Linked DNA regions of Callithrix jacchus. The protein of the gene in region 6 interacts with the protein of the main gene of each other region in a pairwise test. Links are inferred from orthologs where the notes say so. Each region holds a gene or a part of one and is shown on either strand. Other genes may lie near its edges. The genes, in order: APBB1IP, EEF1AKMT1, NEFL, LAX1, E2F1, NDN and SERTAD3.

The links.
Region 1: the proteins of NDN (region 6) and APBB1IP interact in a two-hybrid assay, tested with the Homo sapiens proteins (2 studies listed by BioGRID and IntAct). The link is inferred for Callithrix jacchus from reciprocal best matches to the Homo sapiens genes NDN and APBB1IP.
Region 2: the proteins of NDN (region 6) and EEF1AKMT1 interact in a two-hybrid assay, tested with the Homo sapiens proteins (2 studies listed by BioGRID and IntAct). The link is inferred for Callithrix jacchus from reciprocal best matches to the Homo sapiens genes NDN and EEF1AKMT1.
Region 3: the proteins of NDN (region 6) and NEFL interact in binary tests that used the Homo sapiens proteins (3 or more experiments, as listed by UniProt). The link is inferred for Callithrix jacchus from reciprocal best matches to the Homo sapiens genes NDN and NEFL.
Region 4: the proteins of NDN (region 6) and LAX1 interact in a two-hybrid assay, tested with the Homo sapiens proteins (2 studies listed by BioGRID and IntAct). The link is inferred for Callithrix jacchus from reciprocal best matches to the Homo sapiens genes NDN and LAX1.
Region 5: the proteins of NDN (region 6) and E2F1 interact in a two-hybrid assay, tested with the Homo sapiens proteins (2 studies listed by BioGRID). The link is inferred for Callithrix jacchus from reciprocal best matches to the Homo sapiens genes NDN and E2F1.
Region 7: the proteins of NDN (region 6) and SERTAD3 interact in a two-hybrid assay, tested with the Homo sapiens proteins (2 studies listed by BioGRID and IntAct). The link is inferred for Callithrix jacchus from reciprocal best matches to the Homo sapiens genes NDN and SERTAD3.

What each region holds. Positions count from the first base shown.
Region 1 is NC_133508.1:26,771,529-26,775,028, reverse strand, and holds part of APBB1IP (amyloid beta A4 precursor protein-binding family B member 1-interacting protein), read right to left. Parts: intron 1,742-3,500; coding exon 1,449-1,741; intron 1-1,448. UniProt on the Homo sapiens protein: Appears to function in the signal transduction from Ras activation to actin cytoskeletal remodeling. Suppresses insulin-induced promoter activities through AP1 and SRE. Mediates Rap1-induced adhesion.
Region 2 is NC_133506.1:140,451,201-140,455,336, forward strand, and holds the start of EEF1AKMT1 (EEF1A lysine methyltransferase 1), read right to left. Parts: upstream 2,801-4,136; 5' UTR 2,769-2,800; exon of another isoform or gene 2,073-2,768; intron 1,443-2,072; exon of another isoform or gene 1,371-1,442; intron 1-1,370. UniProt on the Homo sapiens protein: Protein N-lysine methyltransferase that selectively catalyzes the trimethylation of EEF1A at 'Lys-79'.
Region 3 is NC_133514.1:16,534,021-16,537,149, reverse strand, and holds the end of NEFL (neurofilament light polypeptide), read right to left. Parts: coding exon 3,034-3,129; intron 2,487-3,033; coding exon 2,347-2,486; 3' UTR 501-2,346; downstream 1-500. UniProt on the Homo sapiens protein: Neurofilaments usually contain three intermediate filament proteins: NEFL, NEFM, and NEFH which are involved in the maintenance of neuronal caliber.
Region 4 is NC_133520.1:30,827,008-30,831,142, reverse strand, and holds the start of LAX1 (lymphocyte transmembrane adapter 1), read right to left. Parts: upstream 2,801-4,135; 5' UTR 2,450-2,800; coding exon 2,361-2,449; intron 1-2,360. UniProt on the Homo sapiens protein: Negatively regulates TCR (T-cell antigen receptor)-mediated signaling in T-cells and BCR (B-cell antigen receptor)-mediated signaling in B-cells.
Region 5 is NC_133506.1:5,612,550-5,616,730, reverse strand, and holds the start of E2F1 (transcription factor E2F1), read right to left. Parts: upstream 2,801-4,181; 5' UTR 2,682-2,800; coding exon 2,421-2,681; intron 1-2,420. UniProt on the Homo sapiens protein: Transcription activator that binds DNA cooperatively with DP proteins through the E2 recognition site, 5'-TTTC[CG]CGC-3' found in the promoter region of a number of genes whose products are involved in cell cycle regulation or in DNA replication.
Region 6 is NC_133507.1:5,529,829-5,533,553, reverse strand, and holds NDN (necdin), read right to left. Parts: upstream 2,401-3,725; 5' UTR 2,313-2,400; coding exon 1,347-2,312; 3' UTR 501-1,346; downstream 1-500. UniProt on the Homo sapiens protein: Growth suppressor that facilitates the entry of the cell into cell cycle arrest.
Region 7 is NC_133523.1:35,998,470-36,002,612, forward strand, and holds the start of SERTAD3 (SERTA domain-containing protein 3), read right to left. Parts: upstream 2,801-4,143; 5' UTR 2,600-2,800; intron 2,535-2,599; exon of another isoform or gene 2,337-2,534; intron 898-2,336; exon of another isoform or gene 843-897; intron 291-842; 5' UTR 285-290; coding exon 1-284.

The DNA.
Region 1 (3,500 bases), on a different chromosome or scaffold from region 6:
AGTATTTTATGAGCCCAAGCTCTTTGATTTTTGCAAGCTAAGGCTCTCTTCTATTTATAATGATGAGGAAATAAGCTGTTCTGGCTACATTCTGATTACTTGAATATGGGCATGTATCTTTTTATAGCAGTGGCTCTCAAATTGTTTTTTGAGCCACAAGCTCCTTTAAGAAAGCCCATAAAGCTTCACAAGTGCATTCAACTTGTACTTTGTTTGCTTTCAGGGGATGCAAGGCCCCCTCAAAATCTTCACGGACCCTACATTAAGAGTCTCTGTTCTATACTGATCTCCATTTTCACGTAAGTTTTTTTTTTTTTTCAAGATGGAATCTTGCTGTGTAGACCAGGCTGGAGTGCAGTGGCGCAATCTCGACTCACTGCAACTTCTGCCTCCCGGGTTCAAGCAATTCTCCCTGCCTCAGCCTCCTGAGTAGCTGAAATTATAGGCACCCGCCATCATGCCTAATTTTTGTATTTTTTAGTAGAGACAAGGTTTCACCATGTTGGCCAGGCTGGTCTTGAACTGGTGATCCCTTGGCCTCCCAAAGTGCTGGGATTACAGGCATAAACCACTGTGCCCAGCCAAATTTTTAAATAATAAATACACAATAGAGCACCGTGTGTGATAGAGTACAATATAATATTTGATTTATATTTAATATTTGTTCATTCTAAAGGCATTATATGACCTTTCAGGGTCCCTAGGGTCTTATTTGTGAGTACCAATCATTGTGACACAGTGCCACAAATGTGGAAGCTGCAGGAAATTGAGCAGAATTTTCCTCTAAAATATTTGGCTTACTCTAAACAAACAAATAAAAATCCTTAAAAGTGCTCTTTTTACTTTTATGAGAGGCATACTAAGAGTTAATATGCCAAATAAAGATAATTTAAGCTTTCCAGTTGTCTGTTTTTCAACATTCAGAAATTTATCAATCTCAAGAACTCATCACCTGCCTGCCTCATAATACCCTCCCCGACTATGACATTACAAGTGATACTTGGATGTACTTGTCCTACTGAACAGGGCTGCCAAGTTCAACAAAATTCAATTTTGCTCTATTCAGAAAATGTATAATGAATGCCTTCTATTCTCTATGTACTGAGCGAGGAACAGGGACATGGAAATATATAATCAGTTCCACAGTTCAATATGATGTTAATAAAACATTTCCCCAAAAGATTGAGTTTTATCAAAGAGTGTTTGCATATAAATATAGTTTTTAAGCAAACTGTAGTAAATTCTGAATATGGCCCTAATACATTCTTGATACACACCCATGTGGCTTGTTTAGGGCGGGTTCTAGCTCTGCAATGAGCATGCTCTGTATCCTCCTTTTTTGGTATCTCAGAGCTTTGGATGTACAAACTTAGGAATGGAATGATCACTGCAAAGAAGGTAGGTAGTAGAGATTGATGGCCCTGCCATCTCTGGTCCCACATGCTTACCTGAGAGAGAGGGTCAGGAGGTGGTGGTGGCAATGGAAGATCTAACACAGGATCAGCTGGTGGAGGTGGTAAGTCTTCCTTATATTGGCTGATACCAATGGCAGCAGCATTTGTTCCATAACCAAGAGGGGCTGCACTGCTGAAATTTGATGCCTGTAGAGATGCTGAATGATGTTGGTTCTGTGAGGACTCTTTCTGTGCCTGGATTGTCCTCTGCTCAGCCTCACTTATGTCTGCTACCAGATCTGCCATGAGAGCATCTAAATCTTGGTCTTCCAGTGCATTTAAGGACTCTAGTGGGGAAAATCACATGAATGGTAAAAACAAGAATTTGCATCTGGAAAAACTAAAAGAAGATAATTTTTAAGAATAACATTTGAGTAGAAAGGAATAATTATTTTGATTTGTTATGATATAATGAGAAGATTGAGAATATTTTAATTCAACAGCACAAGCATAGGAATTCCTAAGAGGATTGCTGCTGCATTTGTCGAGTGCTTAATGCGAGTGAGTTTCTAACACCAAGGAAAAAAAATGGAGGAAATGTGTTCTCTACACTGGGGCACCTGACACACCAGGTATAAAGTCAAATCCAAGCACACAAATACATGCCTAAATAGGAAGTTCTTGCATTATAGTGTAAGATCTAAGAGTTTTAAAAATTGGGGGACGGGGAGCACTGGCAATAGATGGAAGGGGAGTTTTCCCTAAGCACTTGGAGGGCAAACAGAGTACTGCTGATATTTAGAAGAAATTGGGTTTCAACCAACTGGGTTTGATGTGCTTGTGACTTTGGGGTGAAGATGGAGCTTCTATAGGCTCACCACCTAACTATAGTAAACTTAATATTCAGAGAAAGAGCAATTTTTGTTGCTGTTTTTGAGACAGAGTCTCACTCTATTGCCCAGGTTGTGCTGTGGTGTGATCTTGGCTTACTGCAAGCTCTGCCTCCCAGGCTCAAGCAATCCTCCCAGCTCAGCCTCCCAGGTAGCTGGGACTACAGGTGCATGCCACCATGTCCAGCTAATTTTTGTATTTTGTGTACAGACAGGGTTTTGTCATGTTTCCCAGACTGATCTCAAACTCCTGGGCTTAAGCGATCTATCTACCTCACTCTCACAAAGTGCTGGGATTACAGGTATGAGCCACTGTGCCCAGCCAAGAGCAATTAACAATAAATAGCAGAAATTAAAGCACCATAGGTGGCAAGAAATTACAAAAATTATGAGATTGAATGGTAGAAACTTTATGAAGATGGCAAGCCGGCAGTTAACTTTTAAAGAAAGGAAAGACTTAAATTTTCAGAGTGAGAGGGAGGAAGGAGAGATCACCTTAGGATTTCTTCCATATGTGAGATTACTATGGTAGAGCAGATGTGTGATCTTGAACATTGATTAGATCGTGTGGTGTACTGGGGGTGGTGTTGGTGAGTAGTCTTGATGGAGTACTTTGATGATCAGGCATATATTATATGATGAATATAATGAAGAAAGGATGGGCAGGAAGGAAGTGATCCATGAGGAGAATTCTAGCTGCTATAGATATGATGAACCAGACTGAGGAAATGGGAGCAGCTGGAATGAAGCCTACTCAGTAACAAATAAGCTTTGTGAAAGGATACATTGTCAGACATCATCATCATAAATGCCACGCAGCATACAACATTAATGCTAATAGTGCCAGTGTACAGTACTTGGACTAAAATTTCGGTTTCCTAAATGTGGACAAAGAGTTTATTTTACTGTAAGCCATTTTTATACATAACTTTTTTTTTTTTTTTGAGACAGAGTCTCACTCTGTCACCCAGGCTGGAGTGCAATCGCATAGATTCTGGCTCATTGCAACCTCCGCCTCCCGGGTTTCAGTGATTCTCTTGCCTCAGCCTCCCGAGTAGCTGGGATTACAGGTGCACACCACCATGCCCTGATAATTTTTGCAGTTTTAGTAGAAAAGGGGTTTTGCCTTGTTGGCCAGGCTGGTCTTGAACTCCTGGCCTCAACAAACGATGGGCAGGAAGGAAGTGATCCTCTTGCCTAAGCCTCCCGAAGGGCT
Region 2 (4,136 bases), on a different chromosome or scaffold from region 6:
CATGTTGCCAGGATGGTCTCGATCTCCTGACCTCGTGATCTGCCCACCTCAGCCTCCCAAAGTGCTGAGATTACAGGCATGAGCCACCATGCTGGGTCAAGTTTTTGTATTTTTAGTAGAGATGGGGTTTCACCATGTTAGCCAGAATGGTCTTGACCTCCTGACCTTGTGATCTGCCTGCCTCGGCCTCCCAAAGTGCTGGGATTACAGGCATGAGCTACTGTGCCCAGCCTAAAATTGTCTACCTTCATAGCTGTAAAAAGCGATTAAGTTCCAACCCAAGAATTTGATCCCAAAATAAAAGTTTAAAGTGTACCAAATCCATTCCTTTGATATTCATTTTCTACCATGTAGGAAGCACTGTTTTTGGTGATGAATCTCAAAGTCCTTATGCTATTGGAGCTTACATTCTAGAGAGGCAGAGACAGACTAAAACATATATATGAAATAAATGTTAAATGACAATAAGATTAATGGAGGAACACATGGAGAGCACAGGTGGCAATTTTCGGAATCATAGAATGTTTTCTGCATTGTTAAAGCGAGTTCAAAAGTGCATCACTTCTTCTAATGAAGTAAATGAAATCTGTTAGCAAAATAAACATTAAAGATTAAATGAAATGGCCAAGAGTGGTGGCTCACATCTGTAATCCCAGCACTTTGGGAGGCCGAGGCGGGCAGGTGACCTGCGGTCAGGAGTTTGGGATCAGCCTGGCCAACATAGTGAAACCCAATCTCTACTAAAAATACAAAAATTAGCTAGGCGTGGTGAAGGGTGACTGTAGTCCCAGCTATTCGGGAGGCTGAGGCAGGAGAAACACTTGAACTGGGGAGATGGAGGTTGCAGTGAACAGAGATCTTACCGTTGCACTCCAGCCTGAGCCACAAGAGGGAGAGTCCATCTCAAAAAAAAAAAACTTAAACGAAGTGAACCTATTTTTAGCTATGTTTTAAGTTACTATTTTTATCATCTTTATTATTTTTAGAATTTCTAAGGGGGGGTTGCAAGATTTTTTTCAAATCCAAAAGTGCTGTGAAGTATTGTTTTATTACTATTCTTTTTAAAAAATTTTTATGGCTACTCTGGGCATACTGTCTATGGGGTAGCCCTGCACCACAAGAGGCAGTTAAAAAAATTTTTTTTTCTTTAAAAACTTTTACCTATGGATTATATCATAATTACATTATTATTAAACTGATCCTGGACCTTATGTGGCTCACACTCTAGATCAGCAGTTCTCATAAAACCAGGAGCCCTTTTGACATCTGGCAATGCCTGGAGACAGTTTTGGTTGCCATAAATGGAAAGGAGGTTGTTACTGGCATAGAGGCTGCTGAACTTAAAATTCACAGGACAGCAGCTCCACATCAAAGAAGTATCCTGCCCTACAAGCTGCGGTTGAGAAACTCTAGGTTAGGCATACACATGGCGAACACCAAAGGTAAGGTGGAGGCCCTCTACAGGGCAGCACCATTCACACCATGGGATCAGAGTAGAGGGCGAGTGGGCAGAGGCGTGAAAGAGCAGGTGGAGCGTCAACTCGGCCTGAGGAAAAGGTAAGGATGAAGAGTGACGATTCCAGAAGATGGAACAGCATGAGCAAAGGGGCGGACATGTTGGCTTGCAGCATAAGCAGGGGTTAGCCAGCTTCTGATGGGCTGTGATTAGTCTCTTTTTGTATACAATTACTCAATTTCCATGTTATCACATTTACTTAGGGCAAAACCACCATACTGTAATCTCCACAATCATTCTCGCGTGAAATTAGGTTAAGACAGTGTGATCTAGCAGAGAGAGGATTAACCTAGGAGCCACTCCAGACTCCAGGAAACCGCAGGAGAGCAACGCTCCCTCTAGGAATGGGGAAGGCCTAGATATTCTCCAAATATTTTTTGTAGATTGCTGTATGATTCTACCCTTAATCCAATTTACATCTAGAAAAGGGCCAAAGTTTTTCATTCTCTTTGCATCTTTCAGTCCCCCTGCCTCAAACAGTTCTCTCTTGCTTTTCAAAATTCTATTTATTTCTGTTGTTTTAAAATTAACTTTTAAAAGGAAGTAACGCTTACAGTTAAATGCAGGTCGCAGGTGTGCAGTGCGACGTTGTAACGTACACCCCATCAAAACCCCTATCAGGAAGACCTTCCTGTCTGACATGTGGCTTCCTCCGGCTAGAGACCCACGAACATCCCAGCATCTCTCCCGCACCTCCGAAGCTACTGCCCTTTTTCAAGTAAAGTCGCCTGCGTCCTAGTCTATTCCACCTCCCAAGCCCCGGCACCCGGCAGAGGACCCGCCTCAGAAGCTCCAGCAACCGGCGCTGCGGATACCCGCTCTCCAGGAGCGCACAGTAAAGCCGGGCCCGGCATTGAGAACTTCTGAGGGCAAAGATGGAAAGGACAGAGGCCCAGTCCAATTTCTGCTCGGAAGGGAGGCCTTCCCGCGCTGCCATAGCCTGGGGGTTAATTTCCCCCTCAGCATCAAGGCTGCCTAAGGCCCGGGCGCCAATGTGCGCGGCATAGGACGCGGCCCGTTCCGGCGACCAGGACACGAGGCCCGGCCGCGCCCAATCGGCAACCAGGGTCCCCTCTCAGGCCGGCGCCAGCGCCTTCCCTCAGGCATCCGCCAGCCACCGCTAATTAAAGCTTTCCACCACTACAGTGCTGGAAAAGGTGAGAAACTAACATGCAAAAGGAACCTAACCGAGTCCAAAACCCCTCGGCTGCGCGCAGTCAACCCCACGTCCGCGCCCGAAAGCGTCACTCACCAGCCGCGCGTGCGCAGTCACCCTGACCAGCCGCGAGCAGTGGGAGGGGCGGGCCAGTGTCGAGCTCGCACAGGCGCCGACACAGGCGCAGGCGCACACGCCTCGGCTCGTGGGCAAGCCAGGCAGTCTATAGGCAGCGTCTCAATCCCGTGCTTAGAACCCTGGGGGCTGTGACCAACCCGGAGTCGTTCCCTCAAGTGTCTCATCAGTTGCCTCCAAGAATGGTGGCAATAAAAATTTAAGGTCCTGGCCGGGCGCGGTGGCTCACACCTGTGATCCCAGCACTTTGGGAGGTCGAGGAGATGGGGAGGATCACCTGAGGTCAGGAAGTTCGAGACCGGCCTGGCCAGCATGGTGAAACCTCGTCTGTATTGAAAATGCAAAAATTAGCCGGCTGTAGTGGCGTGGGCCTGTAATCCCAACTACTCGGGGGGCTGAGGAAGGAGAATCCGGGAGGCGGAGGGTGCAGTGAGCCGAGATCGGGCAGCTAAACTCCACTACACTGTATCAAAAAATAAAATAAATTTAAGATCCTAAAGTTAAACCTACTGTTTTGCACCGAATCATGTAGGTTTTTAAAGTCAAGGCTTCATCGGTCTCTTGTCTACTTAGTCTTTTAATCAAATCAAAACGTTGACTTCAATTGTTGACATCAAATTGAGGCTTTGGTAAAAATTGGCGCGGGGTGGGGGGAATCTTTAAAACTCGCTAGTCTTTCAGAGTCCACAGTGTTGAGTGCATTAATCAATCAATCAAATCAATCAATCAATCAATCTATCTATCTAGCACTGATAAGTATATACGATTTTTGTCAACAATACCTTAATTATCTGGCACACACAGGCACTGATTACAAGGTTTTCCTAGGTTTTGGCAGTTATCAAATTGTAACTGATACAAAGTATTTGTTTTCAATTCCCCAAGAAATCAATCTACATTATGCTCCTACCTCCCTTTCCTCTATTTTCTTTACCACTTTCGTGATCTTGCTAAGTTATATTAATGCTGAGCAATTTGAAAATCCTTTCTGGTATAAGGTAAGAATATAAACGAACTGTTCAGCTGGCAGATGCCGCCATTCAGTAAGTAGTTCATGAAGCAGTAGGCTTATAATGTTGGGCGTACTATCATTTCTATTTTAAGAACTGTTCCCAGTTTATAATAACTCATGCTACATTTTGACTTTGTTTTGAATTGATGACAAGTCTATTAACCAAATATTTCAAGATCATGTGTATCCTGGAAAAGGATCAGGAAGAAAATATATAAAACAAACTAAAAGAAATTAACACAAACCAAGAAACAATAACCAACTTTTATAAGTGCATTTTTTACGGAGGTGTTGTTCAATAAACAAAACTGCCTTAG
Region 3 (3,129 bases), on a different chromosome or scaffold from region 6:
TGGGAGAACAGAATACCAGGGTGGCTGGAGTACCTGAAGTGGAGGGAAAGGCTGTACAATGAAATAAGGTTAGAGAAGTAGATAGGGGTCAGCACTATGCAGGCCTTGAAGATCACATTTGAGATTTCGGTTTTCATACTAAAAGCAGGAAGCTATTAGAGGGTTTCATTCAGGGGGATGAGGGAGACCAAGAGGAGGCCCTGGGAGAAGGTTAGAGTGGTGGCGGTATAAATTGAAAGGATTGGAAGGATTTAAAATGTGGAGGCGTTATCACTATAACTTGGTGATAGGTTATTCTAGAGGGGCAGAGGAGAGGCAATGGGAGGTAGGCTGTCATTCAAGGTGTCTGTTTAATAGAATCAGATGATTAGGGAGAGGGGATCATTCACTAGGAGAGGAGATACTGAAAGAGAACCACAAATTTAGGGGGAGCAGAGGGAAAAGGGGCAATGACCACAGCACAAAATTTGGGGAAATGTTAAAAAAGACTTCAAATTCAATTTAGGTTTTCTGGTATTTTATTATGGCACACAGGGTAGAGAATGGTACAGTGTTCTTACTTCCACCAAGGAGTTCTCAGAGCATCCAGCGATTTTCATTTGGCTAAAGTTACTTTTTGCATGTAGCTTGCATCTGTTTGAGACTTGCCATGTACATCATCCCATGTCTACTAAGCATAAATGTGAAAAGCTTGGTTTCTGAGGAGTTGTCTCCCCTTCACAGGAGCCAATACATTGAGAGTTTTCATAATTCCAGTCCATACCATCATGGCAAAGAAACAGCTTACCTATTTCCATAGTGACATATATTTAACTAGATATAGTTGGTACAAAGGGATTAAGTAACTTTAAATGGAGACCACTTTGGTTTCAGTTTAAATCCATAACTTATAAAGATTGTCTAAAAAACAAATATTGAATGAAATTAGCTGACAAAGCAATTGTTTCAGAATAAAGGCAGAACAGCAGATAGTCAATAATATCTATATATTTATTCCACATCAAATGCAAGTGCAAGAGCGTTCATAACTTTTCGATAAACAGAGAGGACATATGAGGTGTGTATCTGATAATATGTCCAACCAGTCAAGCTATCAGTGAAATCCAAATATCTTCCAAGACACATGCAGAGCAATGTCAATGTAACATACAAGCATATTACCTCCCCCCTTAAGTGATTCATAATTTCATTACCTGTATCTGTAGTTTTTTAAGGTTTGAAATTGTGTGAGATTAAATGCTATTTACTTGAGGCAACAGAATTACGCTTAACAACACACTAAATCATGAGCTCAGAATTGCAGGCAATATGTTTGCAGTGGAGTGACAAATAACCTTTGATAGTCCCTTCTCCTGAAATTATATATAGATAAGTCATTCCTTCTGATGGTACCACGTTCTCAGGTTTTAACCTCTGCCCATGATATTTAGACTATATTTTAAAATACAGTTACAGGGATGAATATATGGGATTCATATTCTAACCATATTGCATTATGACATAACAGTTTGAAATGACCTATTTATTGTGGTTCCATGGTATAATGGCTAGCACTCTGGACTCTGAAATGACCTATTTACCATAACGAGTATATCTGTCAAATATTTTCAGAATCGCTCCCTAGAAAGCCATCCCAAAACCTAACACAGTATATGCTATGGGGCAAAGTCTATTGTTTTTATAGACATTCTCATTTACTCATGTTTATTATCAGTAACATTTTTGAGGGGAGAGATTTCATGAATAGTTATGACCTAACTGTATCCCTCGGAATTTCCAATGAGGGAACAAAAAGAAAAGTCTTGGTAATTGTTAAAACTTGGAGTTCTTATGGAGGTCAATAGTCCACTGGTATATACTTTACACCAGTGCCAACTTTAAGGTATTTTGATTAACAACCAGAGCAAAAAATACATCATTAGGTATAACTTTATTTACTATTTATTGCACATAACTCAAGGTCTTGAACTGCTAACCACCAAAGGTTCAAAGGACTATTTTTCCATGAAGTTTAACATTAACATTAGTGAATTCATTTACTCATGTGGTGTTTTTTATTGTAAACATCTGAATCATTCACATTGCCATAGTTCCTGAACTCATAAGCGTGGACCATGCACAGGCTGGCAGCAAGCCAGAAAGCCACTCTGCAAGCAAACAGATACTCTGCATAAAGAGGAAATTCAGAGCACAACATTGAATGTCCAACCTAAGTCATCTCAGAATTATACATATATTGACTTTTTAATTCACACAGGATCTGGAACTCAACTGGTTGGTCGGTTGGTGATGGGGTTGACCTGATTTCGGGAGAATTGTTCCTGACATAATTAAGGAAATGGGGGTTCAATCTTTCTTCTTAGTTGCTTGCTCCTCCCCAGCACCTTCAACTTTCTTCTCCTCCTCTTCAGCTTCTTTGGTTTCCTCTCCTTCTTCAACTTCACCTCCTTCTTCTTCCTTTGCTTCTTCAGACTCCTCCTTGGCAGCTTGAACATAAAAAGAAAGTGTACAAAATCCAAATCCAAGGTAAGGCCAGTCAAAACATGGCTGTTAAGGTTTTATCTGTGAATGCAGATGAAACCGTCAGAGTGCTCACCACAACCTCCCAGCTCCATTCTCTCCAAAAGCACATGTAACAAACAACGCTTGCCATGAATAATTTGCCACTGAACACATATTTAAATGGAATGAGACCACTTCTAGGCATGGAAAGCTCTGCTCCTCCCAAAGATTTAACCTCACTATTTTTTTTAGGTGTCTGGTATCTATTTTTATTCCTTAGGACACCGACCTGTTATGTTAAATGAATGTATTTAAAAATGAAATTTTTGACCAATTGACCAATGAGGTCCATTTTGACCTCATTCAGAGTAGGTGCTTAGAAAAGGTTTGTTGAACAAGCAGAAAAATTATTTATGCTTCTAAAATCATATATGAATAAATAAGCAAGGCTTCATTTGTCTTATCCACCACCTAACAAATATCCACACCCAGTTTGCACTTGAAGTTGCAGGGGTTTGTTTCTTATCATACCTTCTTCCTCTTCGGCTGCCTCCTCTTCCTCAGCCTCCTCCTTGTCCTTCTCCTCCTCCTCGGCTTCTCCTTCAGAGGGAGGCTCATCCTTGGCTT
Region 4 (4,135 bases), on a different chromosome or scaffold from region 6:
ACCTGGCCGTTTATCATTTTTTTTTAACTAAAGAAAAAAAAAACTTTAAGACAGTCTCCATGTGTTGCCCAGACTGGTAACTGCTGGGCTCAAGTTATCCTCCTGCCTCGGCCTCCCAAAGTGCTTGGATGATGGGTGTGAGCCACCATGCTCAGCCTTGTTTATCATTTGACTCTCCAACTTGACTATAAGCTTCAGGAGGTTATGGACTCCTTTATCCTGTTTAACTAGTGCCCTAAACAGGGCTTGGTATTTAGTAAGGCCCCGATGAATATTTGTTAAATGAATGAGTGACTGAATTAATGAAAGAATTAATATGGAAATAGTTTTGAGTGTAGTACAGCCATTATGGAAAAACTATGGAGGTTCTTCAGAAAATTAAAAATAAAATTACCAAAGCTGGGTGCAGTGGCTAGCTCCTGTAATCCCAGCGCTTTGGGAGGCCAAGGTGAGTGGATCACTTGAGGTCAGAGTTCAAGACCAATCTGGCCAACATGATGAAACCCCATCTCTACTAAAATTGCAAAAAAAAAAATTAGCTGGGCATGGTGGCACATGCCCATAATCCCAGCTACTCAGGAGGCTGAGACAGGAGAATTGCTTGAACCCGGGAGGTGGAGGTTGCAGTGAGCCAAGATCATGCCATTGCGCTCCAGCCTGGGCAGCAGAGCGAGACTGTGTCTCAAAACAACAACAACAACAACAACAACAACAACAACTACCATATGATCCAGTGATCTCACTACTGGGGATATATCTGAAGGAAATGAAATCGGTATTTGAAAAGCATGCCTACACTCCATACTTATTTCACTATAGTCAAAATGTGGACTCAACCTACATATCCATCAATAGATGAAAAAAAAGTGAATACTAATCAGCCTTTAAAAAAGAAGGGAATCCTGTCATTTTTGACAACATGAATGAAACTAGAGGTTGTTATGTTAAATGAAATAAGCCAGGCACAAAAAGATAAATACCAGATGATCTCACTCACATGTGGAGTGGACAGCTGAACTCATAGAAATGGAGGAATGCTGGTTACCAGGGAGGGGTTGCAGAGATGTTGGTCAAAGGATTCAGAATTTCACTTAGAGAAAGAGTAAGTTCAGGAGATCTGTTGTGTAACATGGTGACTATAGTTATAAAAATGTCATATTCTTGAGAATTACTGAGAAAGTTTTAGTATTCTCACCACAAAAATATTGTGAAGTAATGTGTATTTTCATTGGTTTAATTTAGCTGTTGCACAATGTATACATATTTCAAAACAATAGGGTATCATGATAAATATATATAATTTTGATTTGCTAATTAGAAAGAAAGAAAGAAATACTTTTGGAGGGATGCTTCAGGCTTCTGAGTTTTGTGAATTCATTGCTCATCAATGCTTGTATCTACCTGCAAGTGACATGTGTTTGCCAGGCTAATAACATTTATTTCCCAAAACTACTGCAATTTTATTTTATTTTATTTTTTGAGACAGAGTTTTTGTATTGTCACCAAGGCTGGAGTGCAATGGCATGATCTCGGCTCACTGCAACCACTACCTCCAGGGTTCAAGTGATTTTTCTGCCTCAGCTTCCCAAGTATCTGGGACTGTCGGCAGATGCCACCACGCCTGGCTAATTTTTGTGTTTTCAGTAGAGATGGGGTTTCACCATGTCGGCCAGGCTGGTCTCAAACTCCTGACCTCAGGTGATCCGCCCACGTTGGCCTCCCAAAGTGCTGGGATTACAGGCGTGAGCCACTATGCCCGGCCTCAAAATGACTGCAATTTAAAAATTGTCATTGGGTTATATTTTTATTATAATACTGAAATTTATAGCTATCAATGTTTTTAAAGTTTCAACTGCTGATGGATTTTTAGTTTTGTTTGTATGAGATTGAAAGGATTAGCAGTAATTTATACCCACGATTAGTTAGTTCTGTAAGAATTTATGTCCTAAAGACATATCTTTATTACATCTATCACTACACTTTTTTACTCATGGCAAGTTTTCGGATCTCAAAACACATCCTTGGAAAACTCAGTTTTTTGTTTCTGTCATGGGGACATCTAGGAAAGATTGACACCAGGGTTCAGGGCCTCTGAGAGGTGAGAAATCCAACTAAAGCTAGTCCAGGTTTTCAGGACCAGTGTTATCACAGTTTTTCTTCAACCACAATATCCTCTTTGTTTCCTCAATACCTGCCTTTCCCCCTAGCACCCCTGAAGAAAAGCCTCCAATCCTAGAGTTTAGTGGTCAGCCTGGGTGCTGAGAGGTGGCATCACTGCTGTATAAGAAGCTCTTAGGAGTGGACTAAGACCTTCTGCCTCAATCAGGGGAGGGTGGAGCTCACCACCCTGAGTCACTTACCTGTCTGGGCTGCTGGGAGTCACATGCAGAGTGTTGAACTCCAAGATCCTCTCTCCGATTGTCGGAAGGGTTGTGGTGACACCATCCATTGTCTCAGGAACCTTTCAGATGCTCTCTGGATTCAGCTTCTAAGTTTCTTTGAATCATAATCAGTTACCCAGCATGTCTATCACCTCCACCACCCCCAACAAACTTCCTATCTTGTGTCTACCTCTGAAGTGTCAGGCTGAGTTGACCCAAAATACATAAGCTCAGGTTTGGTTCTACCTGGATGTGGCTAATGCCCACTGCAGGAGTGCAATCTCATCCGGACGTGGTGCCTCCGAGTGAGGTGGCTCAGAGAGAATCTATGGCCTCTGCCTTCTGGTGGAAACATAAGGGGCACGGAGGGGGAAACTGCCAAGAGGCTCAAGAGAGGCTCCGTGAGAAGCTCATCTTCCTTCAACACCCAAAGCAAAGTGAAAAGAGCAAACCACTTTGCCAGAATGGAAACAGAGAGTCAGTCACCGGAAACAGCACCACCAATGTGCTAATGAAATGCAGGGCACAGGAAACGCTGCTCAGTTCTTAATCTGCTAGAAGAAAACATATCTTCCCTGGGTTTGCCAGGTGCTCTGTGGTCTATGATGAGTGTGATTAAAAATGGGGCAGGGTGGTAGAGAACTTGTGATTCTTTACCCTGGGGTTCTGAGACATTTAGAGTTTTACAAGTCTTCGAATTTATAGTGTTTTCTAAGCAAGTCTAAGGAGCACTGGAGGTTGCCTTTTAGAGACAGACAAATGCAGATCTCTGGGACCCTCCTCTGATTCAGTAAGTGGAGGGCAGGCTTTGGACATCGATGCTCTCCAGGTGATTTTGACAGAGCTGGTCTGTATGTCAAGTTTCGGGAATCTCTGCTCTGGGCACTACCTTAAGAATGGATGCTATGCTGGGTTAGCAGGGCCTCTGCTCCCCTAAGGTGACCTTCCACAGCTCCTGGCTTCTGGGAATCTCCTGTTCTCAGGGTTCTTTTGAAGATCAGTCATAGTCCTACTTGTCACACACCTGTCACAGAAGCTGGATAGTTCATCCCTGAGAGCTACCCAAAATCTTCCAAACTGTGAGGATTGGTCGAAATCTGTTGCTAGCTCCCCTCCCTTCTTGAGCCTACTAATTTCTAGAAACACTCTTTGCATCTTGGGAGAGTCCAAAGAGAAAGGGCCACTAAGACTGTTGTGAGGATGTGAAGAAGAACCTCTCTGATTGCACTTTCCGCAAGGAAATGGATTCCCAGATAATGAATCGGGGGGAAGACCAGCAGCACTCATGCTTCCCTCCCATCTCTTCCCAGTGGACACTGAGGTCCTCAGCTTTCCTGAGCTGGCAACCCCTGGCCTGTCTGGGTCTAGACTCTCACAGAGTCCCCAGGGGCTGCAGACTAGCCCTGACCGGCTTTCCAAGGAGCTGTATCATTCCAGGTCCCGGACTCCTTCCCTCCCAGGAGCTTCACCTTGCAGGAAGCAGAAATGGCTCAGAGGCAGCTGATTCTGGAGCTGGAACCCGGGTCTCTGCCCACTTCTTTGGATCAGGTCTGGGTAGGAACTAGGACTACTCACAAGATTTATCATGCTGATGGGACTGTGTGTGAACCAGGAACTTGGAAAGCAGTACAAGGGAAGGGTGCATGGAACCAAACCTCAGAACCATGACTGCTACTTAAAAAGAGAAAAGTTTTTTTGAAAGAACTTTTCCATTGCATGTGATCATTTCAGGGCCTCACTTATCTTATCTTTCC
Region 5 (4,181 bases), on a different chromosome or scaffold from region 6:
GCAAGACCCTGTCTCTACTAAAAATACAAAAATTAGCTGGGTGTGGTGGTATGTGCCTGCAATCCCACCTACTTGGGAGGCCAAGGCACAGAATATCTTGAACTCCGGAGGTGGAGGTTGCAGTGAGCCCTGATCACACCACTGTACTCCAGCCTGCATAACAGAATGAGACTCTGTCTCCAAAAAAAAAAAACAGTTAAGTTTTCTACAGTAAACATGTATTATGTTTAAAATATTTGAGTTTGTGGAAGTGGACAGGCAGGACCAAGAGAAATGGCTGAATTGCACAGAGCCTGGTATACAGTGTTCAACGAATGCCTGCTGGTACAGAAGCTAAGTCTGTAGCTTATTCCAGGGACTGTGCCAGACAAATGCCAGTGCAGAGAGGCCAAAAGCCGAACCTGTGGACCTTCTGGACTTCAGCTCCAGTCTCCTGCCCCTAAGTACAGAAAACACCTCCTGGCCCTGAAGGACTCTGAGGGTGGGGCTCCTTTTCTCTGAGCCTAGTGCCTCCTAGGCATTCACTAACTCAACAACTGTTGAATGAATGGAATGCCCGGGCCAATAAGCCTGCCCCTGACAGGTAGAGTGGAGGGCACTCTTCTTTGCCCCGTTTCTCCTTCTGATCCTAGAATCCATAATCCTGTTCAGTTCCTTGAGGACAAGACCCTCAGGTTCTGTTAGGTTTCCACAGACCTGAGCCTGCTATATGCTTGTCACACAGCTGAATGGAGGATGCTTGCCCAGGTCCCAAGCACTACCCACAGGGACAAACCCCCGGAGTACAGGAGACAAGCCACCTGGCCCACCCCTCCCACCCACTCATTAAGATGAAGGGCCCCCAAAAGCCCTTCCTGCCCTTTCTTCAGCCTCTATCAGCATCCCTAGAAAGCAATGCATCCCAGAGGTCAACCTCACAGGAAATACAGATTCAACCCCCCGCTCAATAGCAGAATGACATGGGAAGATTCTAGTATTTCTAGGCCTCAGCTTCCCAATCTGTAAAAAGGGATTGCTGCTGATGGGGTTAAATGAGTTAATTAGGTAAAGCTCTTGGCAGAGCCTGGCACATAAGACATCCTCAAAACAATGGTGGCTGCTATTGTTATTATTATTAGCATCGTGGTGATTCCGGAAGGCAGCACTGGGCATGAGGCCAAGGGGGTGGGGGAGCCCCTTTAGATGCCTCAGGGACCAGCTGCTACCCTCACCCCCATCAGCAGTTAGGCAGCTTCTACCTCCTAGTCCTAAGCCCTGCCTCACCCCTCCCACTTGCTCCAAGCTCCCTGCTGAGACCCCATCCTGCTTGACCAGCCCCTGCCTGCACATCAGAGCCCCACCTTCACCCATAGGCTGCGCCAGTCAAACTGGTCTCCACACCCTGTACTGCAGCCCACAGGTCCCAGCTCCAGGCTTCTACGCCTCCAATCCCTTCTCCCACTGTAATTCAGCCACCTCTTCTGGGCACCACCCCCCCCCCACCCCCCGCCCCGTCTGAACTGGTCTTGAGCTCAGCACTCAGGGACGGCTTTATTAAAGGATCTCCCTGGGACATTTTCTCTCCTGGCACTGGGGGCCTCCTCTCCAGCTCCCAGAGGCCCAGCCCACCTAGTTCTTCTACAGAGGCTCAGGGGTCTGTCTGTCTGATTAATGAGGTTCCATGGCAACCAGGGCCTGGGAGGGTGGAGGGTGGCAGATGGAAGGACAGGCAGAGGGAGGAGATCAGCAGCTGGTCCAGCTGCCCCGCCCCTGCAGAGAAGGCCTCCCAGCCAGGAGGGCTGTCCCCAGAGGCCTGGCCGGCCAGTCCTGCACCTGGCAGTCAGCATCGAGGCAGGAAGGAGGGTCTCCTCAGTGGCTCACCAACGGTTAAGCCCCAGGACCTTCCTCGCCCCGCCTTCACTTCCCCTAGCAGCTGTGTTCACTACCGAGATGCAAATTCTGATCTGAAGCCAGCAGGCCGCAGTTCAAATCCCAGCCCCGCCACCTGCAGCCGTGTGACCAGGGGCAAGTCACTGTCCCTCTCTGGGCCTCAGTCCTCCTCCGTCAGCTGGGCACAGTGACAACACGGCTTACAGCAGGGTTGTGAGTTTCAGCTGGCTTGAAGTCGGCCGAGGCCTGGCGTGCAATAAACGCCAGTTGAATACACGTGGGCCATTATTATCATTGAGTCCGACGCTGGGGAGGCTTTAGTGAGGAAGCTCAGGCCCAGAGCAGAGGAGCAAACAGGGACCGGCCCGAGGTCACCCCGCACCCCAGGGCGGAGCCTGGAGGCACAAGCCAGGCTCTGCACCGCCCAGCCTGGGTGCCTCAGTCCACCCCTCCCCCGCCCCCTGCCGCCTCCAGGCCAAACACAGCACCCGCCCAGGTCTGCTCAGGGGGCACAGGCAGTGCTGCCGGCGCGGCGTCCCTGGGGTCCGTACCGGCGGGCGGCCGAGCGCGGGGCGCGGCGCGCTGGGTGTGGGCCGGGGCGCCTGCGGAGTGGCGAAGAGCAGCAGGTCGGGGTCGCACGGGCCGGCGGCGGGCGCCGCGGGGCCAGCTGGGGCCGGCGGGACGCTGGCGTCCTGTGCGGCGGAGATGATGACGATCTGCGAGGAGTCGAGCAGCCGCAGCGCGCCGGCCCCGAGCAGGGCCTCCAGCGCCGGCGCGCATGGGCCGCCCGCAGGGGCCCCGGCCAAAGCCATGGCGCTCACGGCCCGCGCGGCCCGGGTGACAGGCGGCGGCGGCGGCGCGGGCCCATGGCGGCAGGCCCCAGCAAGGGCTCCATCCCGCTCCGCCCCCGGCCGCCGCTGCCTGCAAAGTCCCGGCCACTTTTACGCGCCAAATCCTTTTTGCCGCGAAAGAGCCACGAGCCGCCGAGCGCCGCCACGATTGGCTGCCCGGGCCGTGACGAAGTCGACGGCAGCGGCTCCTATTGGCTATAGCGCGCCGGACCGGCGGCGACGGGAGGGATGGGGCGGCGGCGCGGGGCGGCGCGGGGCGGCGCGGCCAATGGCGGGGCGGGGCGCGCGCAGGCTTTGTCCAGACAGTGCCAGGCGCGGTCGGACTCCCCGCCCCCAGGCCGAGCGTCCCCTGCCGGAGGCGTGGGGACACTGGAACATGGCCCCGCCCCGACGCTCCCGCATCCCACTGACCTTTCTATAGTGCAGGTTCAGGACAGAGCCTCTGTTCACGCGACCCTCAACCTGTAGCCCCCACAACCTCAGCCCACATCTCCAGAAACTGCCCCCTCTTCTTTTCGGGATCATCAGTTCCACAGCCCAGCCATCAGCCACCTCTCCTATCCTCAACTTACCACACCCATGACATTATCCTAACCCTGCACCCAGCCCTATCCCACTCACCCAAAGCCCAAGCTGAAGAGCGGTACCAGGAAATGAGGAGGGACGACCCGCCAGATATTAGCCTGGGGCTTTCCTGCAAGTCCCATTTTAGCCAAAATCTACAATGGCCAAGTAAAGCGTCTGCTTGAACTAATTCATTCCCTCACTCATTCAACAAACGTCAGGAGAGCCTGCTCTGTGCCCATCCTTAACTCTGTGCCCCCATCCTTAATTCGTGGCCCTAAGGAGCTCACAGTCTACTGGATAGGGGACAGAGAGGTAACAGACGTTTACAATAGGATGAAGCATTGGTCCAGAGCGGTGGCTCATGCCTGGAATCACTATAATCAACGGGCAGGGTGGATCTCTTGAGCCCAGGAGTTTGAGACCAGCCTGAGCAACATGGTGAAACCCTTCTCTACAAAAAATACAAAAATTAGCCAGGCGTGGTGGTGTCCATCTGTAGTTCCAGCTACTTGGGAGGCTGAGGTGGGAGGATTGCTTGAGTCCGAGAAATGAAGGCTGCAGTGAGCTATGATCATGCCACTGCACTCCAGCCTGGGCAACAGAGCAAGATCCTGTCTCTAAAACAAAACAAAAACAAAACACATCACTTCTTCTAGGGACCCCTCCCAAGGATCTACTCACTTCCTCTATTGCCCACTGCTGCCTCTGTTCCAACACTGACCACACATTTCTCCATCTGCCTCCCCTGCCAATCTAGAAGCTCAGTAGCGCTTCCTCCCAACACTGGCCTGACCCAGAGCAGGCACTGAGAAAGGTTATAAAAGAACCAGAGGCATGGCGGGGCACGGTGACTCACACCTGTAATCCCAGCACTTTGGGAGGCTGAGGAGGGCA
Region 6 (3,725 bases):
AAGATGAAAATTTCTTAATTTACACAATCAGAATAATCTTGCTTTCTCCAAAATATTGTGAGAACTAGAAAAATAAAATTCCTAGCCTCTCTCTCTGTGTGGCCCATGAATGCATGTGAGTGTGGGAGGTGGGAGCTGGGAGTGTGGGCTCCCACGTAAAATGTAAAAATAAGTTTGAAAATAAATAACCTAAAAGCCACAGGGTGTATGAGGGATTGTAGGCAGGTGGGGACAAATGTGGGCTCTGGATTCATTCTGAGTTGAAGTGCCAGCTCCTTCTCTTGCTAACCTTTACAAGCTATGGAAAGTTAATTACCTACATTATTCCTGTTTCCTCCATGGTGCAAAGGCAGTAGATGCCTTCCTCACAGGCCTGTTGTGAGGGTTAAATAAAAGGGGAAAAATACATGTTAGGGCTGAGTACAATGTCTCACTCTTTAAGTGCCCACAAGACATCCATTAATTTTGATAAAATATAGAAACTTAAGGGAAGGAAGTTATTTTTAGTTTTTATTCTCATATGATGTGATGATGGACAATCATACTGCTTTGTTTTTATACTTTATATTTGTGCATGTTTTTGAAATAAACAATTACATTTAAAGACAATAAAACTATAACCTTCACAAATTTAGGAGTAATCACGAGTAGCGATTTTTCCCACCCTATTAGGGGAAACAGTTACATCTGTACACATTGTAAAATAGAGAATTGTCTCATTCCCAATCATAGTGCTCTGTTAAAATGATAAGAGTACACTTTTCCAAAAATGATTGTATCACAAGAATCTTTAATGTTTACTTTAAAGTTGACTCACGGTAGGGTTGTATATGTGTTTAGTAAATTGTGCCAAGTGCTCACATTGAGACCAGTCCAGTTCAAATCAGTTTACTCCACGAGAATGTCTTCTGTGCCCAGCAAGGTCACGAAGAGCCTTGACTTTTCTCTTGGTTAGGCCAGCTTTGCTGGTGAGTTCTTCCAAACTCTGCAGGAGCAGTCTACCCCAACACACATCACCAGTCCCATATAAAATAATAAGATGCAAACTTTCTCAAGGTACTTCGTCAGTTTAGCATGTCTCAGGTACAAAAATCCAAGAAAGGTAGCACAAAAGCGAAAGCACCAACCAAGCTTACATATAAACAAACATGCATACATCCTAAATACTACACAAGAGTACCCAAATGAATACAACATTGCATTAAAGGTATAAAAGCACTGTACTGAAAACTTAAAAGTTACACGTGAATACTGCACTGTAAATCCCGAACACTCTAATGACCCACCCCCACCCTTCCACAGCCCCGGTGAGGGTCAGAAAGCATTTCATCTGCCTCCAGACCTTGCTAGTCCTCGGAGACACTGTTGCGGGGGCAGTGAGCAGCGGGATTAGCCTCCCGCAGAGCTCTGGCCTCCTCCAGGGCTTCTCTGTATCGGGAGGGCCAGGCCTGGGGGTCTTTCTTAAAGACCCTGGCCAGGAACTCCATGATTTGCATCTTGGTGATTTCACGGCTGGCCCGGGAGCCCCAGAAGAACTCATACTCTGGCGGCTCCACGTACGGGACGCGCTGGTACTTCAGGTAATTCTGTTGGACGAACTCCTCGGTGATGAGCTTTCGCACGTCCCCGAAGGTGGAGTGCTTCTTCCAGGGCCGCAGCCCCAGGATGCGCAGCACGTTCCAGACGGCGCTCTCTCTGGCGCCGCGGCCCTTCACGTAGATGAGGCTCAGGATCATGAGCAGGAGGCCCGTCATGGGCATGCGGTTGCTCAGCGCCACCCTGTCCAGCTCCTCCGGCTCCAGCGCTTTGACCAGCGCAAACTCCATGGTGTGCAGGCTGGTCAGCCTCAGGTGCAGCCCGAACACCCGGGCGAGGATGAGGCTGGTGCGCCGCAGGATGCTCCTGCACCACTTCTTGTAGCTGCCGATGACATCTTTCACCATGTCTGGAAACCAGATGATCATCTTCTTCTGGTCCTTGACCAGCACGTACCACATGAGCTCGTGCGCCTTCTGCACCAGCTGCGCCGGGGCGGGCGGCGCCGGGCCGGGCTGGGCCGCGCTCGGGGCCTGGTGGGCGCGGCCCTCCTCTGCGGCCTCCAGCAAAGCCTTCGGGTCGACCTCCTCGATCGGGGCCTGGGGCGGCTGCGCGGCCTGCGGGGCGGCCGTCGGGCCTAGGGGAGGGCTCTGCGGCTCCGCCAGGGTCGCGGACGGAGGAACCCCCCCCGGAACCCCAGGGCTGCTCTGCGCCTCGGAGCTGGGTGCCTCGGCGGCAAAGCTAGGGTCGCTCAGATCCTTACTCTGCTCTGACATGTCTGCGCCGTCTGGCAAGGGCAGGGCCTCTGCGTCCAGGAGCTCTTCGAGCCTGCGCTCCCTCCGCGGACTCCTGGAGAGGAAGTGCGCGTTGCTGCGCGCGGCGCCTTCCGCAGCGGCGGGCAGGGCGGGGCGGCGGCGGGACGCGGCACTGCGCCTGCGCGACCGCGGCCAGGGCGGGCGGGCGGCCGGGGGCGGGCGGGGCCGCGAGGGGCCCCGACGGGGAGGGTCCGCGGTGAGGCGTCACCTGGCGGGACAGCGATCCCGGGGTTTCCTGTTCCGGCCGAGGAAGTTCAGGGTAGGAGAGGAGGGAGATGGATGCCTGTGGAGAAGGAGCAGGTTTTGGGGAAAGATGATAACTCAGGTTTTGGGGATGCTGGGGTCGACTTTCCTGGGAAATGCTCGCCTGGGTATATCCAGAATCCAGTTAAGTATGAGAGCCCCAGAGGAAGGTCTGGGAGGCTGTGCAAACTGGAGCTTTATGTGAACGAGTGAGAGGAACGGTCGGGCTGTCCGAGAAGACGTGTAAACTGTGAGGCGGATGTCCGAGGTTGGAATCCTGAGAAATTCCAATAAAAAGTTGATTGACTCCCTCCCTACCACATCAGAGGGGTTATAAGGAAAGGAGAAATGCGGTTATAAGGAAAGGAGAAATGCAGCGTGTCGTTAACGTGATTTCCTACCCGCGTGAGCCGTGAACTTGTTCAGGAGGCAGTGGGCTTAGACCATCATTGATGCTTTCATGGGCATAGGTTTGGCTTTTACACTTACTTTGAGTCACTTTGATTCCATTTTCTTTTATTTTTCCATGCTTAGTCCATAACAGAAGGATTGCCATATCTATTAGCACAAACTTGTATGATAATGCATTTTTCCCTCTGCCCAGCACCTCATTCTCCGATTCACCTTCTCCCAGGACCTTCTCTGAAGCTACTGAGTCCTCAGTGTTGGGAGTCACACCCAAATCATTCCTTCCTGAGATCTCCAAAAAGATATAGGTCCCATGGGCAATATCTGGCGGTGTCTCAGATGACCAAAAGGTAGCGGGGGCAACATATGGATAGCCCTGTTTTCCAGTTATAGAAAACAGATTCCCAGTGGGCCAAGGCAAAGCTGTCACTCCTAGAGGCTGTCCGTGGAAAAAGGGGCATTGCTGGAGCCTCCACAACCAGGGGCCTCCATGCTGCTTCAGCATCCTTGGTCTGCGTTGATGTGGTCCTTCAGCCCTTGCCGGGTTCCCTCTCATCAGCAGCTTCTTAAATATGTTGTCTCGAGTCTAGTTATTGCCACTTGAAGCCCAAAGCATGTTTTAAAATTGTCTTGACATGTCTAGAGTCCTCACTATGAGTATCTATCTTTTCTCATTTGTCACTTTAATTTTCCTCAAGCAGGTTGGTGTTGAAGGGTTTTCTG
Region 7 (4,143 bases), on a different chromosome or scaffold from region 6:
GTGGCCGACAGGGAGAAATCCTCCTCACCCAGGAAGAGGGGCTCAGGGGGCAGGGCAGGGGCAGGAGCCAGGGGAAGTGCGGCCTGCAGTTGCTGGAGGGTGTTGTGGATGAGGACATGCCTGCGGAGGCTGGGTGCTCGGGGGCCCAGGCTGTGCTGGACTTTCTCTAGGGAGATGCGGAGCAGGGCTTGCTGGTAGTTCCGAAGGCCTGCTGAACTCCACTCCCACCTCTCCTCCTCCTCCTCCTCTAAATCAGAGTGTTTCCGCTTCAAGCCTCCCACCATGATGCCCTGTGGAGAGAAGAGGGGCATAGGAGCATGTCAGACACCAGGCACTGTACTGCTGGCTCAAATCCCACTTTCTCAGGCCAACTGAATTGTTGGTGATTTTTAATCATCTGAATCTCAGTTTAATCATCTATAAAATGAAGGCTGTCTGAATCCTACAAGGTTAAGGAGGTGAATACATATAGGATCAAGAAAATAAGGGCTGGGCAGGTGGCTCACGCCTGTAATCCTGGCAATTTGGGAGGCCAAGGTGGGTGGATCACTTGAGGTCAGGAGACCAGGCTGACCAACATGGAGAAACGCCATCTCTACTAAAAATACCAAATTAGCAGGGTGTGGTGGTGTGTGCCTGTAATCCCATCTACTCAGGAGGTCGAGGTAGGAGAATCGCTTGAACCCTGGAGCCAGAGGTTGTATAGTTAGCCAGGATCGAACCATTGTACCATTGTACTCCAGCCTGGGCAACAAGAGCAAAACTCTAGCTCAAAAATAAATAAGTAAATAAATGAAAATAAGATCTGGACTTAAGTACAGCTGGATTTAAATCCTACTTACTTGCCTGTTGTGGTCTCAAACAGGAGTGCATTTACATCCATGGGGATTTCCTCATCTGCAAAATAAGGATCCTAACTCAAGTTCCTCTAAGCCTTAAAACCGTTCTTCCACAGTACTCATTTCTTCAAACATGGAGCACGCAAGATAAGTGTGGAGCAAATGAGACCTGAATTAGAAGTAGGGAACCCCAAATTTTCTGTCTTGGAAACCGCTCAGCTGCGTGATTGTGGTAAGTGACCTGAGTGAATTTCCTCTTAGGGCCTCAGTTTCCTTATCTGTAAAACGGGGACCTTAAAAAAATACTTCTCACCACCGCTGTCAAGGAGATGAAAAGTATGCATAGGGCCCATCACACAGGAACTGCTTAATAAACAAGAGTTCTGTTTGTTTTGTTAGAGACAGGTCTAACCCGGGGCTGAGTGCAGCTGCGCGATCATAGCTCACGGCAGTCTCCAAGTCCGGAGTTCAAGGGATCCTCTCGCCTCAGTTTCCTGAGTAGCTGGGATTACCACCACACCCGGTCTCGATCAAGAGTTAATTGCCAATTATTCACCCAACAGATTTACCGAGTGCCTACTATATTCGAGCCTCCTGGAGCCCTCTTGGGGCACCTGTATGTTGTGATTCTTCTTCTACAGTCAGGATATTTCTGTCTATGCCCTCTTCCTTAACCGACGGGGAGCGCTCCCAAGAGTAGGAAAGGGGCCCTGCCTCATTCCCGCTGCTGCGCTTTCAGCTTCCCCCAAAGCGCGCCCCATAGGAAAACTTGCTAGAACTCAGCTCAGACCAAGCCCCGCCCCCAGGGGACCCACCCAATCAGGCCTCGGTGCTGCAAGGCCCCGCCCCTTCACGGGTCCTTAGAGACTCCAGAAACGCCCCAATTTGGCCCAAGGTCTTCTGGGAAACGGGGGCCAACAGCCTCCAGGTACACGAATTGACGTCGGGCACGCACCACAATCCCCAGGGGGCTCCGCTCCTCCAGGGGACGAACCCACTCCCCCGCCCTCCCTCAGGGCATGCGCACAGGGGCAAGGGCGGGTGGGGGAAGGGCACCCGGACGTCCAGCTGCCGGCGGCCGCCGAGCCCCGCCCTCCGTTGCCTCCCGGGCGGTGAGTCTGAGCTCCACGCCCGGAACACCCCTCCCCCACCCCAGACTCCGGCTCTAAATCTGCCTTCTCCTGGTGCCTCCGTTCCTTCAAAGTCCGGGATTCTCGTCCCGAGACCCAAGTCCGAACACACCGCTCAATGACTACAATGCTACGATCTAGTTCGGGAGACTACGTATCCTAATTTTGATACTTCCACTTCTATTCTCCTGACTTTCAAACGCCCCTGGACTTCTCCAAACTCGCTGTCCGGCTCCAAGACCCGAACATTGAAATCTTTCCGGCAACCCCCTTTCTTTCCCCCACCAGTGCGTCTTGGAGTCCAAGAATCCTTGACTCTATCTCGCTTCTCCAAATGCTCAGGATCTCACTCTCAAACCTCTCATACCTTTTCCAAGAACACGATAACGCCCCGAATTCATCCTGTCCCGAAGACCCAAGTGGAATCGAATCTCCAGGTTCCCCATCTCAAAAGTTCCTCCCCTCTGTTCTCTCGCTTCTTCAAACGCCCCACGTCCCAGTTTCGAACTCCCTCCAATTGAAAATACTGCCCCAACCTTGCCTCCCCTCCGGGGTCTCGAACTCTGTCTCGGGTCCCCAGACCCTCCCTATTAACACCCTGAATCTGAGACCCCCCCACCCCGGTCTCACCCAGACCCCGCCTCCGCAGATCTCCGGGGCGCGCCTCTCCCTCCTCCAGCCCAAGGTAGATTCCCAAGCCAGGCTATCGCTCTTCACCTCAGCTACCAGGTTCTCCACGACCACCTTCAGGAACGCCAGCAGCGTCGCGACCAGCCAGTGCCGGGACCCACCAGTGACGGGCTGGGACCTCGCTCACCGCGGCGGGACCTCTCCGTCTGGCCTCGGGCCCACCCATTCCTGCCCCGTAGCCGAGCCGCGATTGGCTGGAGGCCTGCCCGCCGCGGGGCGTCGATTGGCTGGGCGGAGCCACCGGCCCTGGCCCGGAGACGCCGGACCCGCCTACCCCTTCCTAGCGCCCTGAGCCATTTAAAGAAGTGCTACTGGCAGGGGGCGGGGCACCGCCTCGGGGGTGGAGGGCGGTGGAGCCAGCAGAACCGCTTCCTTTCACTCAGCTACCGTCTTTGCTCCAAGAGCGTCACCATTGCTTCCTGTGGTCCCTTTTTGATACGTCTGGACCCCTCCGCGGAGCCACAGAGGCTGATATGATCCTCCCTACCCTGCTGTCCAGGAGGGCGGGGTCGAGCAGCCGTAGGAGGCCGTGCCCCGGGGGTTCCGAGGGCGGACGCTGGGGCGCGGGGGATGACGTAGCAAAAGACCAGCCAATAGTGTGGTGTGGCCGTGTTGCCTAGGTGACCGGAGTCCCGCCCCCTTACTGCCCTTCTCTTGTTTCCCCCCGCGCCTCACGTTACTCCTCAGTCCCTTCTAAATCCCCTGGTTTTCTCAGCACCTCCTCTGGTGGTCCCTTCTGGGACACCCTCTCTCCTTCCCCGCCCCATCAAGATGACGACTCCGCTTCTGTTCATGGCTTCCTACCGCCCCGAAGACAAACTTCAAACTTCTTCCTTTTGCCACAAAGCCCCTAACGACCTGGCCTGATGCGCTCTCCTGGTTCTTTCCGATCCTACCCCACTGAGTCACTTCGTTTTTCTAAAATGGCTTCAAGCTCCCCTTCCCCCATCACGAAAACGTAAGGATTTTGCATGTTTTCTTCCCAGCCTTAACAAGTGTCTCCAACAATGCCAGGCACGCAATAACTTCTCAAAAATGACAACAAAAGGCTTCTAAATCTTTATTATTAATAATATATATGTATATTTTGTCGGGTGTGGTGGCTCACACCTGTAATCCCAGCACTTGGGAGGCCGAGGCGGGCGGATCACCTGAGGTCGGGAGTTCGAGACCAGACTGACCAACAATGTTGAAACTCTGTCTCTACTAAAAATACAAAAATTAGCTGGCCGTGGTGGCGCACGCTTGTAATCTTAGCCACTTGGGAGGCTGAGGCAGAAGAGTAGCTTGAACCCGGGAGGTGGAGATTGCGATGAGCCGAGATTGCGCCACTGCACTCCAGTCTGGGTGACAGAGCGAGACTGGGTGACAGCCTGACAAACATGGAGAAACTCCGTCTCTACTAAAAATACAAAATTAACCAGGTGTGATGGTACATGCCTGTAATCCCAGCTACTCTGGAGGCTGAGGCAGAAGAATCACTT